Linked DNA regions of Danio rerio. The protein of the gene in region 1 interacts with the protein of each later gene in a pairwise test. Links are inferred from orthologs where the notes say so. Each region holds a gene or a part of one and is shown on either strand. Other genes may lie near its edges.

Region 1 (10,799 bases):
TGTTCTTCGTGCTCGCTGTCGTAGCCCTGCTCCTCCTCATCATAGTCTCTGGTGACCTGCAGACACAAAGCAGTTCACAACCGGTTACAGTGACCGTTCACTCAATAATGTCAATTATCAGTCATTTACTCGTACTACACCGTTTCAAACCAATGCCATACACATAGGAAGATACTTTGAAGAATGCTTGAAATCCCTGACTTCTATTATATTGTATTTCCATAGTAATTCAACCCTATAGTTGTGCATTGACTGGATAAGTGATCTACTCATAATCTAGCATTAGTTTTGAAGCCAGCACATGTCTGAGGGAAACACGCTGTTGTTAAACGGATGTAAGACCGGTTTACCTTCACATCTCCCTTCTCGCTGTCAGACTTTCGGTCTCGATCCTTGTCTTTATCTTTGCTCTTCTTGCTGGTGGAACGTTCCCGTTTTTCCCGGTTTCTGTCGCGGTCTTCTTTGCGGTCTCGGTCACGGTCTCTCTCGCGGTCCTTGTCCTTCTTTTTCTCCTTCTTGTGCCTGATAGAAACAGTTGTTGGGTTAAAGTGTGTCCCAGAAGGGAGATCATGTAGTACTGTGTGTGTATGTGGGAGAATTACCTGCGTGGCGATGGCGAGCGGGACAGTTTTCTCTTGGGAGATCGGGATTTTTTGGGTGATCGAGACATGCTGCGACTCCTTCTGTGCCGTTTCCTGGAGGACGAAGCATTGGATTTTAATTCAAAACCAAAGAAAGTTTAACATTAATTCTTAATTTGTCAATTTACTTTTTTATAAGTGCATTATTTTAATTATGACCAATGATTTCTGTGCCAAAGAAAATCCTAATTTAAAGTGTTTTGGGTAAATTCATCAAAAGTAGTGCTAAAGAAATATAATAAATAGAAATAAGGACAAGTTTCTGAATCATTAAACAAAACAAAAGCTTTCATCATATCAGATTTATCACTATTTTACAGTCGAATTCAAATATTATTTTATACAATCTAATTTTCCTGTTTATATTTCAATAGTAAACAAATTGTTGATAAATTAAAAGGAATTTCCATATGCAATTTAATTTTAGTTTGATTGATTAGGCTATCAACAGTTTAAAAAAATTAAATCATTAATTAAAAGACAAACATAAAACATTCGCAGAAAACCTCTAATGTTAAATAGCTCTACATTAAAGCGTGTAGGAAATCATTTTCTTACTAAATCTAATGAAAAGCACAGAATTTGGCTCTGAATTTGGAAAACTGAACTTTAAAATCTTAAATGGCAACTTTTATTATTATTTTAATGAATTAGAATGTTTTTGGCGATTCTAAAAACTCAAAAGAGAAGTTAATAAACACTCAACAGTCCAGACTGACCGGCTGGTGCTGCGGGAGCGTCTGGCGCTGCTGTAGCTCTTGGGTGGAGTTTTGGACCGTTTCCTGTACTTTTCATCCTTCCTTCGATCTCTACATCAGAAACAAACCAAACATCTGTGAGGAAACAAGCCAGCATCTCTCCACAATAACCCTGGAGACACCTGAGTGCCTCAATAGAGGACTAGAGATGAAAAGCCTTTATAAAAAAAAACATTTTTATACAACTATTATAGTGAGCAGAATTATCTACAGTTATCAATATAAATCAATCAGTTTTCATAAAATGACATTCAAATTTACAGATTTTTTTTATTTCACGTTGATTAATTTTTACATTCAACAACTTAACACAAATGTTTATAAAATTTTGTGTTGTAATTTATTGAAGCTCACGTCACAAAATAAAAGTAAAAGCAAACAATAAGGAAAAACTATTTCTATTTTTAGAATTAAAAACAACGTGAACTGCTGGCATAACTGTTATGATTTTGCTTTGTTACGTGCAGCAGAAACATGCCATCGTGGAGCCTTAATGGTTTATTAACCCTAAGTGAATAGTGTAGTTATTAAAAGTATTACAGTTAATTAAACAGAGTTATTGTCTGCATCCCTAGCTGACACACCCGAGGACTGACTGACAGACACTGACCTGGACCTGGAGCGTCTGCTGCGGTCTCTGGAGTGAGATCTCCTCCTGCGGGGACTCTTGGACCTCCTCCTGCTCCTGGAGCGAGATCTCCGCCTGGAGTGACTCTTGGAGCGCCTGCGGTCACAACATCATCATAGTAAGCCAAAACTAAAGCTGATTTTTCACCCCAAAGACTTCCGTTCATATGCACGTGAATGTGTCAGACTGGAAATGCAAGCTCATGCGACGAGTTTTGCAGTTCGCTGTGTTGCAAAGTTTAAGTTTGGTGAACTCTGATCTGTGAAATCGCATCACTGCATGAGACCAATCGAGGATCCAAACATGTCCTCTCTGCACAGAAATGTAAAATATGGAGCAATCGCTCGCTTTAAACATCTAATCATCTTGTTTGATCCCGGCCCTTTTCCTGGCGCAGTATGACAATTTCACACACACAAACTCCAGCGTGACCGCAGCTCAAGACTAAAGCTATTGGTCAAAAGCAGGAGAGCTCAAACAAAGCGTCCTGCAGAGTTCAGTTACAACCCAAACACCTTAATCAGATAGTCAAGCTCTTTATAGGTAGACTAGAAAATTATAGGGCAGATGTGTTGAATATGAAGGGACAGCAGCTCTCAAGGATCCAGTTTGGTCAACCCTGGTCTAAAGACATTTTCATTAACTGAAACATTGACCTTCTCATGTTTTACTTAGTGAACATTATAAAATACTAAACACCCTCTCTCTATATAAACTTTGTTTTTTAATATGAAGTTTTTCTGAATTCTTTATCATTTAATGAATTTCTATTCATGGCATTTGTGAGGTTTTGCATGGTTTAAATACTAAATGTTTTGCACAAAAGTGAATGTAAACATGTTCTGTGCACTCTGATAAACGACAACTACTAACACTAAACTAAATGCATAACTAAAACAAACAGCCATTATTGGAATGAACAAAAACTCAAGCGTACAGCAAACCTAAAAATACTACCAAAATAAAACTAATTCACAAATGCAAAACTACAATAACCTTGCTGTGCTCACAATTTATTCAGATTGGCCCAAATTTCAGCTCAAACTGCGATTAAGACAGACCTGTGTCTGGAGCGGGACCTGGATCTCCTGCGTCTGGATCTGGACCTCGATCTCGAGCGCTTTCGTTTATCATCCTTCTTACCTAAAGAGAAGCAGACACAATTTAGTGTAGCATCCTTCAATATTTACATGAGCAGAATGTCTGATGGGTCACTAGCCGTTTCAAACCACCCATCTTCATGCATATTTTGGAATATTGCAGTAAACAAAACTTACATGTTTAAATATATGAACATATCTAATAATTAAAAACACAGAAGTCTGCTGTGAACAGCTTTAGTGAATAAACTGTGTATGCACTTCATCAGTAGTTTCTGACAGATGCTGATCATATATTAATGTGTGTGTGTGTGAGGGTGTTTGTGTCTCTAATGTTGGTTTTCAGCTCTCCACTGTTGCGGATGTGAGATGTTGTTCAGACACTTAGCCCTCCATCAGTCCGTCATCACAGTGCTTTAGCATTATTCTTCTTTTATTATTATTATTCCCTCCAGAACTGTCTTGAGCATCTGTCTGTGCTCTTGTCTCCACCACATTCACTGCGTCCATTGCATGTGGTGTTCTGAGGCACAGCTCATGTATTAAAGAACAAACAGCACAGTGGAGAATCCCAACAGTGCAGCAAACTACACTTCTCTCAGCAATATCTGTGCAGTTTCTCGCTGCAATATTCCAGTTTGGTGCATGAATCTAATTCTCATCTTCGAGTGGAAACACAGTTACTTACTTCCAGGCTCGATGGCAGCAGAGATCAGAGATTGCGCCTCTCTCACTCTCTTCATGGCTTCTTCAATCTCTTTATTGGAGGCGTCTGCCTTCAGTCCAGGGGTCAGATTGAGCCCAGCGGCCAGAGGATTCAATCTGCAACAACACACAATAAATAGATGATTTAAAACAGAGTACATTTTCATATTTGGGTGAACCCTCCCTTTAATGCTCCATTTAATAAATACTATATATGTGGATTATTTTTAAAATTAAAATCACACAAAATGCATGATTGCAGATGAGGTGTTTGATGAACTTACTTGGGGTCTATTGATGCCATGAGCTTCATGAGCTGCTCAGCTGACAATGACTGAGAAGAAAAACATCAAGCATGAGTCAAAGAGTCCTGCTGCATAAACAGCTTCATGATTTGTGAGTCAGTTATGCAAAATTATAAATGATGAATTTTACAACACATTTAAGACTGACTAGCTAACTGAAACTAAAATGAACAACTTACAACCAACGTAATAGAGTTTACTTGCGCTTGTAGAAAAAAGGCCTTTGATATTTAAGAGTATATTTACAATGCAAATGAATTATGAGGGGAAAAAAAGTTTATTACATTGAAAATTTTATTAATCATTCAATCATCAAAAGAGTTCAAATAATCAAGGCATTGATATGCGTCATATCGTCCAGCCTTTAGCACTTAACATTAGCCATTTCTGTACAAAGGCTAGATGAGGTCTGGCCATTATTGAAGGAATGGAAAATGGTCAAACCTGTGGGTTTATATTGGGTGCTGCCATGGCCAGAGCTGCCATCGGGTCCAAGTTTGGTCCTCCAAGACCGCCGAGAGGGACGCCACCAATCTGACAAGACAAAGCACACGAGCATCACTACAGTGCAAGGAGGACCATAGACTGATTTCACGAGGCGGACATTTTAAACAGCGAAATCGAGGCTGCGGTGGAAGAAACCTGGAAGTATCGTCTGAGTCAGAGAGGAATTTTGTCTACCTGACTGTATATCTCATCAGCGAAGAGAAAGTGACACAAATTTACCATTTCACCACGTTCCAAGTGATCTGAAGATCCGTTCTGAATGAATAGTGAAAATAAAAAGGGATATCAAAGCTCATTTTCAGCTAAGTTAAGGGAAATGAAACTAGTTAGCTAACGTTTTCTTTTCCAAACGCACGTTTTAGATGCCTTTTATCAACCTTAAGTTAATGAACGGATTCTTTCACTATATAAGACAAAACTTCAGTACTGAAACGTAAAAAAATATTTTAAAAAGGCCATATCCCATTAACATTTAAGCACTGTTGATGGCGTTCTTAAACACTGCTGATTTGCCATGGTGTTCACGTGCTCAACAGAAATGACTGTGATTGGCCGTGAAGGTCATCAGTTCACTGATGTTTACCGAGTACAAACACAAACAAGCAATCTACTGATAAATCGACCGATCTTCACGGCTTGAAAACGCTCCAATGTCTATCTGTGTTAGCAATCGGTGAAGAGCGGTGAACTGATGACCTTCACAGCCAATCACAGTCATTCCAGTTGAGCACTGGTGAACACTATGGCAAATCAGCACAGTTTATGAACTCGGCGGCGCTTAAATGTTAGCGGAAATGGACCTTTTAAAACTTCAGTACCGGGACAACACTGCTACAGACAACACGAAGGTGTGTTACAGAGGACTGCATGGTTTTATTGCTCACCGGGTTACATAGACTGAAACAGGGAAGCGTCCCCATGGTGTTTACCTGCTGCCATGAACTGAAACCTAGGAGGACACTTACTCTTAAAGAGATTGTGATGTTGTTTGATGCCTAATCTGCTGTTAATTGTTTAGATTAAACTTACTGCATGATATTAAAGTGATGTTTACACCATTTCTGCATTTTGCAATTTATGGCAACAGCTGGAGGTTTGTAGTTCACAGCATGTTGCTGCAATGTTTACAGTGCTGATGCTATACTCCCGGGTTCCTTCCCACCGCTGCCTCGCTTTCGTGTTTTAAAATGGCGATCGCCTGAAATAAGCATATAGCCTCGGGTTACAGAGATTGACACTCACAGATGGGACGGGGTTGGGTGTGGGGAGGAGTCCGCCTCCTGGAAGCAATCCTGCAACGGCATTGGCCGGAGCAAGCAGAGACATAGCCTTGGACTCATCAGGAATCACTCCTGCAGAACAGAAACACACAGTTAAAGCACGCCGCGGCTCTCCACGCACACACAGACAGACCCACAAACTCAAACTTTCTTTTTTTTTGCAAGATAATGTGCACTGACATCAGTACTCACTTTGCCAGAGCAAGCTAACACATGAGGTCCCTTAACAATAGCATGAAGTGCACAATACTACAAGAAAAGAAATGACACTAGACACACTGCCAAGATGTTATCACCTGAACTTGATTTTTTAAGTCATGAACCAAATGTAAGCAAGCACAGCCGGATCTCCACTGGGATGTGCTCTCAAGTTTCATAAGTTGTATAATGAACAAGCGATTCAGGTCGGCTGCTTCGCTATAAAGCACACAGAGACATCAAGATAGACAAAACAGAGTTTATGATTTGGGTGTCAGCATTAAATGACAGTTCATTAAACCACTGATGCTGTGACTTACCAGAACTAACACAAAAATAAAGACATCAAGGGGCTTTTGCTGGTATTCCAGAGCTAAAGCTGCCTTTACCTTTGGTAAACTTTGACACAGATATACAACAGAAAGGACCTCTTCCAGCAAAAGCCCGTTTTAAACTTAACTACAGACTGTGTGTGTGTGTGTGTCAAAAAGTGCTGAAGAGAAAAATAACTAGAGTTAAATGACAAATGAACGTTTGGTGAGTGCATGGAGTCCATTGGGTGAACGCCTCTGAAATTAATACTTCACTCCAAAGACACAATCATCACTGACACACACACACACACACACACCAGAGAGAGAGAGAGAGAGAGAGCTGAGAGAGAGAGATAGAGAGAACATATGAGAGAGAAACAGGACAAGCTGCAGAAGACAAAACTGTTGGGTGGCATTTTCTGCTGGGCCTGGTTTACAGGACTTGCAGAACCAGGGAAAAGAACTGGAAAACACAACAACAAAAAACAGAAAACGACCGTTAAAAAGCTTCTCAGGCCTTTTCAGTCATGTGGAGAGGAACAAAAGAACATTCTCAGACTGTTTCTTACTCAAAAAGCTGAAAATACTGGAGGGAGATTGGACAAATCATCACATACGCGCAGGGAAAGCCCTGCGTTCAGCTATCATTACGCTCTTGCCAAGCGCTGCTTCTCCTCACATATACATGTGCAAAAGACTCATGCAGAAATGCGCTACATCTCATCTTACCGTGGATTATCTCGTGTCTGATTAGCATGCAGTTCAATCAGAGGATTTGAGGCTAAACATTAGTGCTTTGCAAGAAAAGACGGATCGATCTTTGTCTGTGAGCTCAATTGAATTGAATGGAGACACAAGAGAGGATTATAGTTTACAGCAGGGAAACACACGTGGGCCGCCGCTTTTATTTGTCTACAGGGCAGCAGAGGGTCACTCTCAGACATCTGCCGGCTCTGCAATTGCCTTGTTCACTATAAAAATCACACACACAGATGACAAAGAGAAAAGTTTAACAAAAAAAATGAAACTAAACTGGAAAGGCAATGAGTTAAACATGAGCTCGCCTGCCACGCAGGGCGTCTAATCCCCAACATTTCTCAAATATTCACCTGAGTGCATATACAGTCTTAGGGCTCATTCACACTGAACACGTCTTTGCTTTTAAACACACGCGCGGGGAAAAACTAAACTAAAGACGCAGCATTAAAACACAACTTTAAACAAACTTGCAGCAGCAGTCCCACTTCTCAACTCTTCTGATTGGTCCACTGCTTTGAAACTGACATTAACAAGCAGCGCTGCATCTACAATTTCAACTGCTTATAACTTGACAAAAAAAGAAGAGTAACGATCACACACATCCATCAAGTGCGCCTTTACATCGAAAACACAAAAAGCAGAGCACTTTAAAAGAAACGCGTTCTGTGTGAATGTCCCCATACTGCGTTCAGGTGTGTGTGACGGCCGCTGGAGTTCACTGCACTAAAGCCGTCATCAACACTGCGAAGGGATTGATTACGTGTAACATTTAAAAACAATAAAGGAGTGGCACAAACCTTCAGCAAAGGGGACGACGATCAGCGCTCGGTCCACGAAGACTGTGTTCGTCAGATGCTGCGATACTCCGACTGACTCCGGCTCGTGGAACTTTACAAAACATACACGTGAAGTCACAGGCAAGGGAGAATCACTGAAAGAAAATATAGAAGCTTTTGCAAGGTGTACACACACAGTTCACACACACGCACGCACAGAGCAGTGAAATATTCACGTTTGGCTCGATTTGATTTGATCCGGCTCAGTTTTAGATCTGCCGGCTTCAGATCCAGCAGCGTCCTACCTTCACTGCAGATATGAGGAGGCCTGATGTTTTTCGATGGGTGAAAAACAACAAAAGCACAGAACAAGTTACTAATTACAAGCTACTGAAAAACCCTGCCTGACTGAGTAGTGACGTCTCAGAGAGTGCATTTCTATTTCTACACCTAAGAACAAGCCATGTTTAGCTCACAGTACACTTAATTTTACATCTTTTTACAACCTTTAATTAGTGTTTGCAAACTTACATATGTGACCCCAGAACAGAAAATCAGTCATAAGTGCATATATAAGATATGCATTCTCAAAGCTGAATTAATATGCTTTCCATTAACGAATACAGGTTAATGTACTTATAAAGTACAGCATTTAATAATTATAGTTTCAATTTATTAATCGTAGTACAAAATAAATTCATGCTTGTTTACTTTAGTTAATGCAGTTAACATGAACTAACAATGAACAATATCGTAATGAATATATTATTCATTGTTTGGTTATGTTAGCAAATACATTCATGCAAACTTATTATAAAGTGTTAATGATTTTACAAACATTTGGGTGAGATAAAACTATTAAAAAAGCAGGTAACTGAGGGCTTAAAAACATAAATTAAAAGTGTAAAGTTGTCCAAAATAAATTTTTACCAATGTTTATTAATCATCACAACTGGAGTGGATATATTTGCAGTGTAAAAATTATTAAAAACATTTTATTAAAATATGATCTTTACTTAATATTCTAATGTTTTTTGGGAGAAAAATACATTTCTAACCTATACACTGCATTTTTTGCAAAGACTGGTTCTATGGTCCAGGGTCACCATATAGGTAGGGTTGGGCGATTAAAACAAAATCACAACCCTGATTTAGCAAAAGCTGTGACCAATGCCGTTATGCCCAAATACCTTTCATTTGATGTAGATACACATCCCTACATAATCATCCGAAACCATCTAAAATGTTTCATTTGTTTGAGTCATGGGAAATTGTATTAATATCGCAAATAGAATTTTCAGTCTTTACCAATAGTGTGCAGGCTGCACAACAGCAATGTTGTAAACTAAATATTTTCAGAGCTAGCCTTTACATTGCAGGCTTAATTACTGTACTATTAAAATGTGAATAGAAGCCTGCTTTCTTCAAAGTTCCCTTTCAGTTGTTTAGAGTAGGGTTGTCTCTTCTTTGCCTTGCACCAGTAAATCTGCTCTAAATCTGCTCTAAAGTCTATCACATCCTTTAACAATGAAATGCAAACTAAACCAAATCAACAAAATTACTACAAAAACTATAATAAAATAGGCAATGCGCTTGACATATTTAACCTGCTCCACAACTATGAAGCTTTATATATCAAATATATAATATATATTTAGTACATACTTTTATTACATAAGTTTTATTATATTATATTATAGTTTTATCAAACTATATAATAAAATAGGCAACGCGCTTGACATATTTAACCTGCTCCACAACTATGAAGCTTTATATGTCAAATTACTGTAAAATGTTCATCAGCTTTAAAGCGAGATCACAAAAAAATAAGCAAATAATTTAGTAGTAAATCTACTCATTTACTCTCCCCCAAGATTGAGATGATGTTGATTTTATATTTGCACATTTAAAATTTTAAAAATAGTAAAGTAGAATTGATTAAAACTGATTAATTAGCATGCAGTTATGAGTATTGTATTTGAAACTAATGCATTGTTTAAAAATAAAAGCTGATAACCACATCTCTATGGAAAGTCTGTATATTGTTGATCAGGCTACTTTGAATACAGAATCTGAAATTACATGCCAGTATAAATCAGAACATTAGCACTATTTCATCCACTGCGAACAGTGTTGTACTTTGATAGTCACTGGCTGTTAATATGATTTTACTATTTAGAATTAGAAAAAAAAAAGCTTTTCTGAAATTATACTAAGTAAAATATCTAAATGTGCAAACATAAAACCAAATTTACCACAACCCCACAAGTGCTTCCAAACCAGCAGGGGTTTATTACATATTTCTGTTATCCTAAACATTAAATACAATATTCATCATCAATGGTTACAGGCTTCCAGCTTTATCGGAAATACTTGTTTAACAGAAGAAGCTAAACTTTGAAAACACTTGAGGAAGAGTAGATAGTAGGTACATTTACATTTGTGTATGAACAACCTGCATTATATACAGACAGCGCTATTAAAAACAACCACAACTAGATTGTATTGTAATGAAAATCTGGTGATTATAACAGTAACACAACTAAAGCAACAACTGTTAACACAAAGTGTGTATCAAACACGTGCACACGAAAACTGAACTGTGCGTCGACGCAGATTTACGTGCGTGACGTCACGCGTCTTCACGTAACAAAGTAACGACATTAAATTGTACAATGACCATAATAAACATCGCGTGTGAGTGTACAAGTCAACTTAATACACACAACGCAGAAAATATGAAGACAAATACACTAATAGTCGGTTAACAGCTCCACCAGAAGAGTGTGCGCGTTCACTGTGGCGGAAACGGATCGAGTGTGAATGGG
Region 2 (11,303 bases), on another chromosome or scaffold:
AAATCAAAAAGTAAATCACATTTGGACTAATAAATTTTTTTTTTACTTTACTGGCTAAAAAACAAAACTAAAAAAGAAATGATTACGTTATAAGATTTTATATATTATATTATATTATATTATTTTATATTATATTTTATTATATTATGTTATATCATATTATTTTATATGATATATTATTTTATATTTTATTTTATATTGTATTATATTATATTATTTTTATTATTATTTTATATGATATTATATTATTTTTATTATAATATAATATATTTTATTATATTACACATTCATTATTGTGTTTTTACTAAAATGAACATTTGTTTCTGCCTTTTTTTTATTCCTATTATAGTATTACTGTAAATGTTCATCATTAAATCATATATGATCAATATTAAAACTCATAATCAGTGAAGTGACCTTGAGGCTTGTATTCGCAGCCGATGAAGCCCTGATAGTCGAGCTCCTCCAGCAGTCTGAAGATGAAGGAGAAATTGAGCTCTCCAGGGCTGTCTGGCTCATGCCGATCCGGAACCTGAGCTATCTGGATGTGGCCTGATGCAAAATAATAATAATCAATAAGTAATAATAAAACTGGAAAACAGAAAGTATAATAAAGTAATATAACAATATAACAATATAATTTAAAAGCATTTTGTAGACAAGCAAAAAAAAAAACGATGGTCTTATTCTTAATATAACAAAATAATTGCATTTATTTTTTGTTAATATAGGCTGGAATACTAAAACAAACAATAAACATGATAAAATATAGTAAAAAAGCACAACAAAAATCAAACCTGAGCCTGTTTTTACTCAAAAATGTATTGTTTTTCTCTAATTTGTATTCAAGTTCGAAACTAAAATAACCAAAGACAGTTAAACAAAACTTGAAATAAACACAGAACATCGACAAAATATTACTACAAAATGTTCAACAAAAATACAAACTTAGAATGTTAATATTGTAAATATAGGAAATATTTTGACATTTTTATTTTATTTTGTAGAAATTTAAACAGAAATGTTTTATTATTTTATTGTTGTGGTGTTTGTGCATATGTGTATATATGTGTGTATATATGTGTGTGTGTGTGTGTATATATATATATATATATATATATATATATATATATATATATATATATATATATATATATATATATATATATATATATATATATACCCACACACACACTAAAATAAACTTTCTTTATTCAGTTTTCTACAAAATAAAGTAAAAATGCCAAATCGCTACTACTAAAATTCATCAAAATAATACTTTTGAATGTTAAAAATTATTAATAGTAAAGATGTTGAAATATAACGTCTGTTAGGTTGAGACAGACTGCAGCAGGATTATGTATTACCGCAGTAACGGTGAGGTTTACCTGTCATTGGTAAGTATCTCCGTATATTGTGAGTTAAGTTTCCATCCATGATCTGCCAGTGGAAGATGTCCTACAACAGCAGAAGCAGACAAGAACAGTCAGTGTATGGAGAGTCTGAGGTGTGTTTTCTGCAGATGGATGGATGGATGGATAGATAGATGGAAGGATGGATAGATAGATAGATAGATAGATAGATAGATAGATAGATAGATAGATAGATAGATAGATAGATAGATAGATAGATAGATAGATAGATAGATAGATAGATAGATAGATAGATAGATAGATAGATAGATAGATAGATAGATAGATAGATAGATGGATAGATAGATGGATGGATGGATGGATGTGGATGGAAGGATAGATAGATAGATAGATGGATGGATGGATGGATGGATGGATGGATGGAAGGATAGATAGATAGATAGATCGATAGATAGATAGATAGATAGATAGATAGATGGATGGATGGATGGATGGATGGATGGATGGATGGATGGATGGAAGGATGGATGGATGGATGGATGGATGGATGGATGGAAGGATAGATGGATGGATGGATGGAAGGATAGATGGATGGATGGATGGATGGATGGATGGATGGATGGATGGATGGATGGATGGATGGAAGGATAGATAGATAGATGGATGGATGGATGGATGGATGGATGGATGGAAGGATGGAAGGATAGATAGATAGATGGATGGATGGATGGAACAATAGATAGACAGACAGACAGACTAATATATGAGAAATATGAGAAAACTAACCATCTGCATCTTGATGCTGGGATGATCCACTCTCTGCAGAATCTCAGCAGCTACACACCAACACAATAAAACATCAGTAAATGATCCAGAATCAGAAAACACACACTCAATGTTCAGTGTGAGAGAGTGCTGACCCTGATGTGGAGAGTGCAGGAAATATCGTGGGTCTGTGATCCTGCTGTTGATCGGCTCAATCAGACCAAGCAGACCTTCCTGAAGAGCAAAGACAAACTGTTTTTGGGCGATGAAGACAATTTTTGATCGTTTTTTTTTTTTTTTTTTGCAAAATATGTGACCTACAGGTACTAAAAGTTAGGTGTAAGTAAAAGAGTTTTTAGTGATTATTGATCAAATTAGCAGCATTGAAGAGTTATATAGTATAGTATCGTTTTAAAAGCTCTCAAATTCAGCCTTACACTAAATTACAGCATCAAAACCATCCAGCCAAACCACGGTATTAAATGTAGAGACCCGGTGGAGAGTTACAACATCACGAAATCAAAAACAAAACAAATGTTTCAAGCACTGTAGGAGTATTTCAGTAAGCATTGGAGGAAGACTACAATGATATTTATATATACTCATTTATGTTATATATTATTTTATGCTGTAAATAATAATAAATAAATAATTTTTAAAAATATGTAAGACCTAAGAACACAAGACTGCAGTCAATTAAAATTTGGACTTTGAACTTTTGATTTCAAATTTTTTAATTTAATTTTTATTTATTTTTTTAGTTTTTTTATTCTTAAATAAAGATTTGGAATTCTAAAACTTTGATTTAGAATTCTAAAATTGTGATTTTTAGTTGTAAATTTAGATTTGGAATTCTAATATTTTGATTTGGAATTCAACATTGTTAATTTAGAATTAAAAAACTTTGATTAATATTTCTAAAATTTAAATTTGGAATTAAATTTAGATTTAGAATTTAAAAAAAAATTTTTTTGTAAATTTAGATTTGGAATTCTAATATTTTGAATTGGAATTCAACAATGTTAATTTAGAATTCAAAACTTAAAATTAGAATTCAAAAACTTTGATTATTAACTCTAAAATTTAGATTTGGAAATCTCAAAAAATATATATATTTTTGTAACTTTAGAATTTGGAATTCTAAATTTTTTTTTTTTTTTTGTAAATTTAAATTTGGAATTTTACAATTTTGATTTTTAATTGTAGATTTTGAATTGGATTTCTAATGACTTAGATTTGGATTCTATAATTTTGATTTAGAAATTTTAAGGGGGTCAAAGGTCACCTTGTCTAGCACACCTGCTGCATGCTTCAGATTGTGCACAAACGTATCCTCCATCTGCAGGGCAAGAGCGCAGCGTTCAGACCCCGCCGGGACCCTGCCAGCCATCAAGTGAATCCTGGAGACACACATGAACATCACATATACACCATCCTCATGCTCCACCGATGGAGAAAACACACCTCAGAGCTTCAGCAAGAACAGTTCAGCACAAATCTGAACATTTCAGTAAGTAAAGCTTCATGTCTTCCTCACAGCAGCTTCAGTATGCGCTTGTTTTATGCTTTATATAATATGAGTGGAACATCCAGCAGTCCACTGTGAATATAAATCAGCTGAAGGACTGTTATTGCTGCTGTGTTTTGTTCATTTGAGTCCTAACCAGACAACAAAAAGACAAAGCAGGAAAAGTGAGCTCTTCCATGCAAATCTCTGAATAAATATTGATTTGGATTTCTGTATGGTCGGAGTTTTCAGAAAGCTTGAGTTTCAGTCAGCCAATACTCCCTTTTTGTGTGGACAAACAGTAAAAATGTGTAGAAAAAAAGTGCATTTTTGAAAATACTCATGCTTGTGTGGACAGGGCTTTAAAGGGTCATGACACCCCCCACTTTCGGTTCAAGTCTACCTCAGAATTTTTTCAAAAGATGCATGATAATGGGCGTGGAGCTCTGTGAGCAAAGGGCAAGAGTGGGCGTGGCCAGCAGGGGAGAAGGAGGGGAGCGAACAACTGTTGTCAGTCGGCTCACAAAATGAGACACAAACCATGAGGAGACGCATGACTTTATAGCTAACAAAGTTAAAATGCAAAGAAACAAACGGTAATTTAATGCTCAGCTACATTTGTTATTTGTAATTTCATATACAGATAACCACAATTTATATCATTTTAAAGATAAGCATGTTCATATAAACACTATAAATGATGACTTCTCCCTCAATCCCCGGGTCTGAATGCAGACTCTCTTGCCCTGCCTATTTTAACCATTAGCCCTGTTGGTAATCTGGAGGATTTAGGCAAACACAGCAGCACGGTGATGTGTCTAAATGTGAACGAACTCCTGATAAAGGACAAAGTCCACAATTCTCTGTCATACTCGTACTGCTCTCCTGACAAAAATGCTTGCTGCACACAAACAGCTCTGCTGTATCGATCCTGACAGCATCGCGGGGAAACAGACACACAACCCTTCATGAATGGATGAATACTGTGTGCTGTGTGTTTGTGTCTCAGAGCTTGGCACTGGCAGGTCTGCCTTGTCTTCGTAAAGCACGTGCAGGCATGAATAATTAAGAAGCCGGCTCTTCTCATAGGATAAGAAAACTCCGCTATGAATAATAATGAGAAACCGACAAAAGCTGACAAACTGACAAATGCTCCAAATTATCCAGTTTACCCCACAATTACAGCTGACAGGTGCCAACATTGCCTTAACTGATGCTCAACAAACACAATTCTGTTAACATCTCAGAAAAAGTACTCGAGGGTTTCATGAACCTTTATGAACATGTAATTGGTGTTTGTTAAATGTGTGACCCCTGAAGGTCGACTGAAGTGTGTTCCTGAAGAGTATTAAACATCCTCACACTCGTACCTCGTGCAGTCGAGTGCTTTAGCGTACTGAACAGCCAAATCCAAACCCTGCCTGAACTCCTGCTCTCTCCCAGGAACAGCAGCCAATCCCAGATCTCCAGCTGACGCGTCACCTGCGGGAACACAGCAGCTGATTATTACTGATGATAACTATCAGCACTTAATTAAAGTGTCTATCCGTCTATCTAGTCATCTGAATATAGTGATCCATCCAGTCGTCCATCCATCCAACCATAGTTTAACCCAAGAATCCATCCATCTATCTATCTATCTATCTATCTATCTATCTATCTATCTATCTATCTATCTATCTATCTATCTATCTAGTCATCCGTCTATCTAGTCATCCATCCATCTATCCATCCATCCATCCATCCATCAATCTATCTATCTATCTATCCATCCATCCATCCGTCCATCCGTCAATCTATGTATCCGTCTATCTATCTATCAAACTATCTATCTATCTATCTATCTATCTATCTAGTCATCCGTCTATCTAGTCATCCATCCATCCATCCATCCATCCATCCATCCATCCATCCATCCATCCATCCATCCATCCATCCATCCATCCATCTATCTATCTATCTATCTATCTATCTATCCATCCATCCATCCGTCCATCCATCAATCTATGTATCCGTCTATCTATCTATCTATCTATCTATCTATCTATCTATCTATCTATCTATCTATCTATCCATCCATCTATCTATCTATCTATCTATCTATCTATCTATCCATCCATCCATCCATCCATCCATCTATCTATCTATCTATCCATCCATCCATCCGTCCATCCGTCAATCTATGTATCCGTCTATCTATCTATCCGTCTATCTATCTATCTATCTATCTATCTATCTATCTATCCATCCATCCATCTATCCGTCAATCTATGTATCTATCTATCTATCTATCTATCTATCTATCTATCTATCTATCTATCTATCTATCTATCTATCTATCTATCTGTCTAAAGTTTGACCCAAGCATCCATCTATTTGTCTATCTAGTCATCTATCTATCCGTTTATGGATCCGTCAATGCACTCGTCTGTTTGTCTGTCGTTCACTCGTGTGTGTGCGTGCGTTTCTTTCTCTCACCAGGAGGAGTGTTTATTAGCACAAACTCGAGCCCCGTCTCCTCTTTGGCTGTCTTTAACTCTTTCAGGTCGGTGTTGTAGAGCCAGGCCGCCTCCACCGCGCGGAACCCCGCACTCGCTGCGGCGCGCATCCGCTGCGGGAACTCCGGCAGCTCCGTGAACAGCCACGAGATATTCGCGCAGAACTTTAACGGCGCCATTAAACACGTCTGCAGCAGGACGAGCACATGCAGCTCGATGACACACTCTGACACACACAAGAAACCAATAACTAACCGAATAACCAAAGTTCAGCGTTTATTGATCAGCACGTGCTCACTGTGTTTACATCTTCAGCGATCAGCTGACTACGCACGTCACGTGCTTCTCCGCACATGCGCATTGGCTCATTTGAGGATCTTGCATTTAAGCCTACTTTTAGTTTTATCATTTGTTTATTTCTTTTATTATTTTATTTTTTATTTTTGCTCTGTTCTGTACATTTTGTGTTTATTTGAATTTCTCCTTTCACTGAATTTGTGTTATACTGCAATTAAAAATCTTTTATTTTTATCTGTTTTTTTATGTTAATATTATATTTTATTGTACCATTATTGCAACGATTTTTAATTTTTTAATTTAATTTTAAATTTTTAAAGCTCTATATGTTTGCTTAACTTAAAAATGGTTAATTAATAGAATAAATAATTATAATTATTATGTATATTTATATAAAACATTTCTAAATGTATTCAAATATAAATTGGACCAAAAAAACAAACAAAATAGTAAAATAAATAGTCAAAAAAATTATAATGAAAAGAAAAATCAATAATGTTTTCATTTTTGGTGCGATTGTTACTATATATTATTATTATTATTATTATTTAAATTAGTATATGTATATTTAATTTATTATTATATTGGGGTTTTTTTCATTCATTCAGATATATTCTTTATATTTATTACAACATCTATTTTTCAATATTTATTTATACATTTATTTATAGCTATATTTATTTCTACTTTTTATTATTTATTATTTAAATAAAATTTTTATTTAAATATTATATTATATTTATTATTTACATTTTAATAATAATTTATATAATTTAAATTATATACGTTAAAAATATTACAAAAAATAAAAAAATAAATAAATAACCTGGGGTGTCCAAACTCGGTCCTGGAGGGCCTATTTTCTGAAGAGTTTAGCTTCAACCCTAATTAAACACACCTGAGCCAGCTATTCAAGCTTTCACTGTACTAGAAAATTCCTGGCAGATGTGTTGAGTCAAGCTGAAGCTAAACTCGGCAGGACACCGGACCTCCAGTTTGGAGTTTGGACACCCCTTTGTTAAACAATGTAATATATTAAACGAATGAGCTTCTACTTTAAATTTTTACATTTAATTACATTTTCCCTTTTATTTCCACTAAATATTTTGTTAAATTATATAACCTTTAATTTTAGTTTCGATTTTTAGATCAATTTCCTTTTTTTTTTCTTTTTTTTTTTTAAATCGCAATGTTTAAATAATATTTCAATGTCAGTCGTGAATTGATTCATTATTTTTTAAAAATGAGCTCAAGTAAGTGTTTGTAATCTTTTAGTCGCCGGCATATGTTCAGACAGCTGCTGAAGTAAACCCATACAAACACCTAAAAGACGATCTTAGAGTCCAAACTTCATGTATTCCTTTAATTCTCAGTTCAGCCACTACATGAAGCAGACTCATGCATATTCATGAGTTATTGTTTTACACCTACTGTGTGTTTTTTCATAGCCACTGGGACAGAAGGTGATGTAATCCTGCGCGAGTGTCTTGAGTATCATTTCATGAGGTTTATAGTAAATATTCAATACAGCAGCAGCATGGAGGAGGTCAGCAGAGGTTAATGAAGCACCTGGACTCAAATACACTCATGAATATTAAAAACTCCACTGATGGAAACATGTTATTCTGACTTTATTAAAGTATCTGCATCTCTCCATCTTCATCTTCAAGAAGAGACTCTCACTAATGCACCACAGCACAGATTTCCTCCATACAGACTTCATTATGATCCACTTGAACAGCATTACATGTCATTATGGTTGCATGTTGTCTGGAATATGCATGATTATGATGATTGCACTTGTCATTTTCCCTCATATTTGCAGTGTTTGAAATAGAGAACTAACATATTCTGGACTTATTATTTATTATTATGCACGTATTACATATGCTGCCCTCATGTTTGCATCAAATTCAGTTCATGTAAAGCAAATCAAGTCAGTATTTTACATCATTTACTCATTCATTCATTTCCTTTTCGGCTTAAACTTGGTTCGCCACAGCAGAATGAACCGCCAATTTATAAAGCACATGTTTTACACAGCGGATGCCCTTCCAGCCGCAACCCAACACTGGGAAACATCCATACACACTCATTCATACGCATACACTACGGCCAAATTAGCTTTCCCAATTCCCCTATAGCCTATGTCTTTGGACTGTGGGGAAAACTGGAGCACCCGGGGGCAACCCACGCCAACACCGTGAGAACATGCAAACTCCACACAGAAATGCCAACTGACCAAGCCAGGACTAGAACCAGCAACCTTCTTGCTGAGAGGCGATTGTGCTCCCCACTGCACCACCGTGCCCCCATACATCATTTAGTATAACATATATAAAAATATATTAATTAAAATACACGTTAAATGAAAACCACTAAGATATACTCACCGGCCACTTTATTAGGTACACCTTACTAGTACCGGGTTGGACCACCTTTTGCTTTCAGAACTTCATGGCAGAGATTCAACAAGCTACTGGAAATATTCCTCAGAGATTTTGCTCCATATTGACATGATAGCATCACACAGCTGCTGCAGATTTGTCAGCTGCACATCCATGATGCCAATCTCCCATTCTCTATTGGATTGAGATATGGGGAGTTTGGAGGTCATCTGAGTACAGTGAACTCATTGTCATGTTAAGAAATCAGTCTGAGATGATACACGTTTTATGACATGGTGTGTTACCCTGCTGGAAGTAGCCATTAGAAGATGGAGACACTGTGCTCATAAGGGATGGACATGGTCAGCAGCAATACTCAGGTAGGCTGTGGCGATGACAAGATGCTCAATTGGTACTAATGAACCCAAAATGTGCCAAGAAAATCTCCCCCACACCATTATACCACCACCACCAGTCTGAACCATTGATACAAGGCAGGACAGATCCATGCTTTCATGTTGTTGATGCCCAATTCTGACCCGAGCATCCGGATGTTGCAGCAGAAATAGAGACTCATCAGAGCAGGCAACGTTTCTCCAATCTTCTATTGTCCAGTTTTGGTGGACTGTGTGAATTGTAGCCTCAGTTTCCTGTTTGTAGCTGACAGGAGCGGCACCCGGTGTGTTCTTCTGCTGCTGTAGCCCATCCGCCTCAAGGTTGGACGTGTTGTGTGTTCAGAGATGCTCTTCTGCAGACCTCAGCTGTAACGAGCAGTTATTTGAGTTACAGTTGCCTTTCTATCAGCTGGAACCAGTCTGGCCATTCTCCTCCGAGCTGTTGGAAAGGTGTACCCAGTAAAGTGGCCGGTGAGTATATATACATGTACTTTTTTTATATATATATATATATGGTGCTAAATAATACTATATTTATTGAATATGTTTTGCAAGAAAATATCTTCTGTTTTGACCTCTTCAGAATTTCTTATTTGATTCAGTTTGAACTTTTTTTTTAATTCATTTGTAATAATTTTTTCCCTTTTTATGTTTATTTATTTATTTATCATTTAACAATTTATACATTTATTAATATTTTTTTAAATTTGAATATTTCATTTTTAAAATGAATATATACTGTATTATATCTTAAAAATTACAATGTAAAATAATTATTTATATTTTTCAAACCCTGATGATAATTAACCATAGTTGTAATACAAAAAAAAACTTAAACAATGCATAAAAAATTAAGGGGGGAAAAAGGAAGAAGGACAACATTGTTAATACTTATTTATTTTTATTCGGCTTAGTGTTTAATGAATCTGGGGTCGCCACAGCGGAATGAACCGCCAACTTATCCAGCATATGTTTTACACAGCAGATGCCCTTCCAGCTGCAACCCAGTCCTGGGAAACATCCACAAACACTCATTCACACACATACACTATGATCAATTTAGCTTATTCAGTCCCCCTATAGCGCATGTGTTTGGACTGTGGGGGAAACCGGAACACCTGGAGGAAACCCACGCCAACACAGGGAGAACACGCAAACCATACACAGGCCACCATGCCGCTCCATGGTTCATTTTCTGTGAGGGAATTTTTAGGTAAAATGAGCATTATTTAAATGTTTTACAACAAAATACTGTTTCTGTCTTCAACATTTCTTATTTTTAATAATTATTTGTAACTTTTTCTTTGATTTCTTTGAAATCAATGGCATTTTTAAGCATTTTTTGTAAACATTAGTTTTTTGTTTTGGGGGTTTGTCTTGAGCTTTACATAAACCTGAAATGCACCAGAAATACACATTTTTATTTGAAGATAAATACCAGTCACGATGTCAGCATACAGCATCATTCATCATGAATTATTGGCCGCTGCTTCATCATGTATCATTTAAAATAAGCCAGTATAGAGAGCAGTGTAGAGTAAATAGTAAAGCAGCATGTGTGCAGAAGGGCTGATGCACACAAACCCCCTGCAGCAGGAAGCAGGAAGTGGCGAGAGGAAGCAGGGCCACTGGAGCAGGAAATTGAAAGCGTGAGCGTTTAGCCCTCTCAGGTTTGAGCCCTAACAAGCCTGCTTCAGAGATGACAGCCTGCGCTTATCGGCCCCATCTCCACTTCCATCAGCCAATGACAGATGTTTACTGCAGCACAACTGTGAATATCAAGCAGAAATCCTCAGCGCTTCATACTGTCCGCATGCGTGTTTAATATAGAGAAGGGGAATGTGTCCTTACTTTGCAATGCGTTCTGGGTATTTAGGACAAGGGTGCCTGATTCCCATTGATCGCTATTGATTTTATTGTATCATATGCAGAGGGGGAAATAAGTATTCTTGATGAATCCTGATGGTTCTGTGGGTCTCGTCTGTCAAATCTGATCTTGACTTTGTATTTTCAATTAGATTCGGGTCAGGTGATTGGCTGGGCCATTCTACAGCTTGATTTTCTTTCTCTGAAAGCATTTG

Evidence for each region. The genes of interacting proteins can lie anywhere in the genome.
Region 2: the proteins of srsf11 (region 1) and hyi interact in binary tests that used the Homo sapiens proteins (3 or more experiments, as listed by UniProt). The two-hybrid records come from large-scale screens. The link is inferred for Danio rerio from reciprocal best matches to the Homo sapiens genes SRSF11 and HYI.

What each region holds. Positions count from the first base shown.
Region 1 is NC_133186.1:47,578,469-47,589,267, reverse strand, and holds part of srsf11 (serine/arginine-rich splicing factor 11), read right to left. Parts: exon of another isoform or gene 9,683-10,799; intron 9,579-9,682; exon of another isoform or gene 8,127-9,578; coding exon 7,993-8,126; intron 5,997-7,992; coding exon 5,887-5,996; intron 4,672-5,886; coding exon 4,582-4,671; intron 4,167-4,581; coding exon 4,117-4,166; intron 3,950-4,116; coding exon 3,816-3,949; intron 3,171-3,815; coding exon 3,089-3,170; intron 2,124-3,088; coding exon 2,010-2,123; intron 1,451-2,009; coding exon 1,361-1,450; intron 696-1,360; coding exon 603-695; intron 523-602; coding exon 351-522; intron 57-350; coding exon 1-56. UniProt on the Homo sapiens protein: May function in pre-mRNA splicing.
Region 2 is NC_133181.1:3,330,382-3,341,684, forward strand, and holds the start of hyi (putative hydroxypyruvate isomerase), read right to left. Parts: upstream 6,481-11,303; 5' UTR 6,323-6,480; coding exon 6,124-6,322; intron 5,128-6,123; coding exon 5,016-5,127; intron 3,539-5,015; coding exon 3,424-3,538; intron 2,373-3,423; coding exon 2,294-2,372; intron 2,210-2,293; coding exon 2,160-2,209; intron 1,459-2,159; coding exon 1,389-1,458; intron 553-1,388; coding exon 418-552; intron 1-417. UniProt on the Homo sapiens protein: Catalyzes the reversible isomerization between hydroxypyruvate and 2-hydroxy-3-oxopropanoate (also termed tartronate semialdehyde).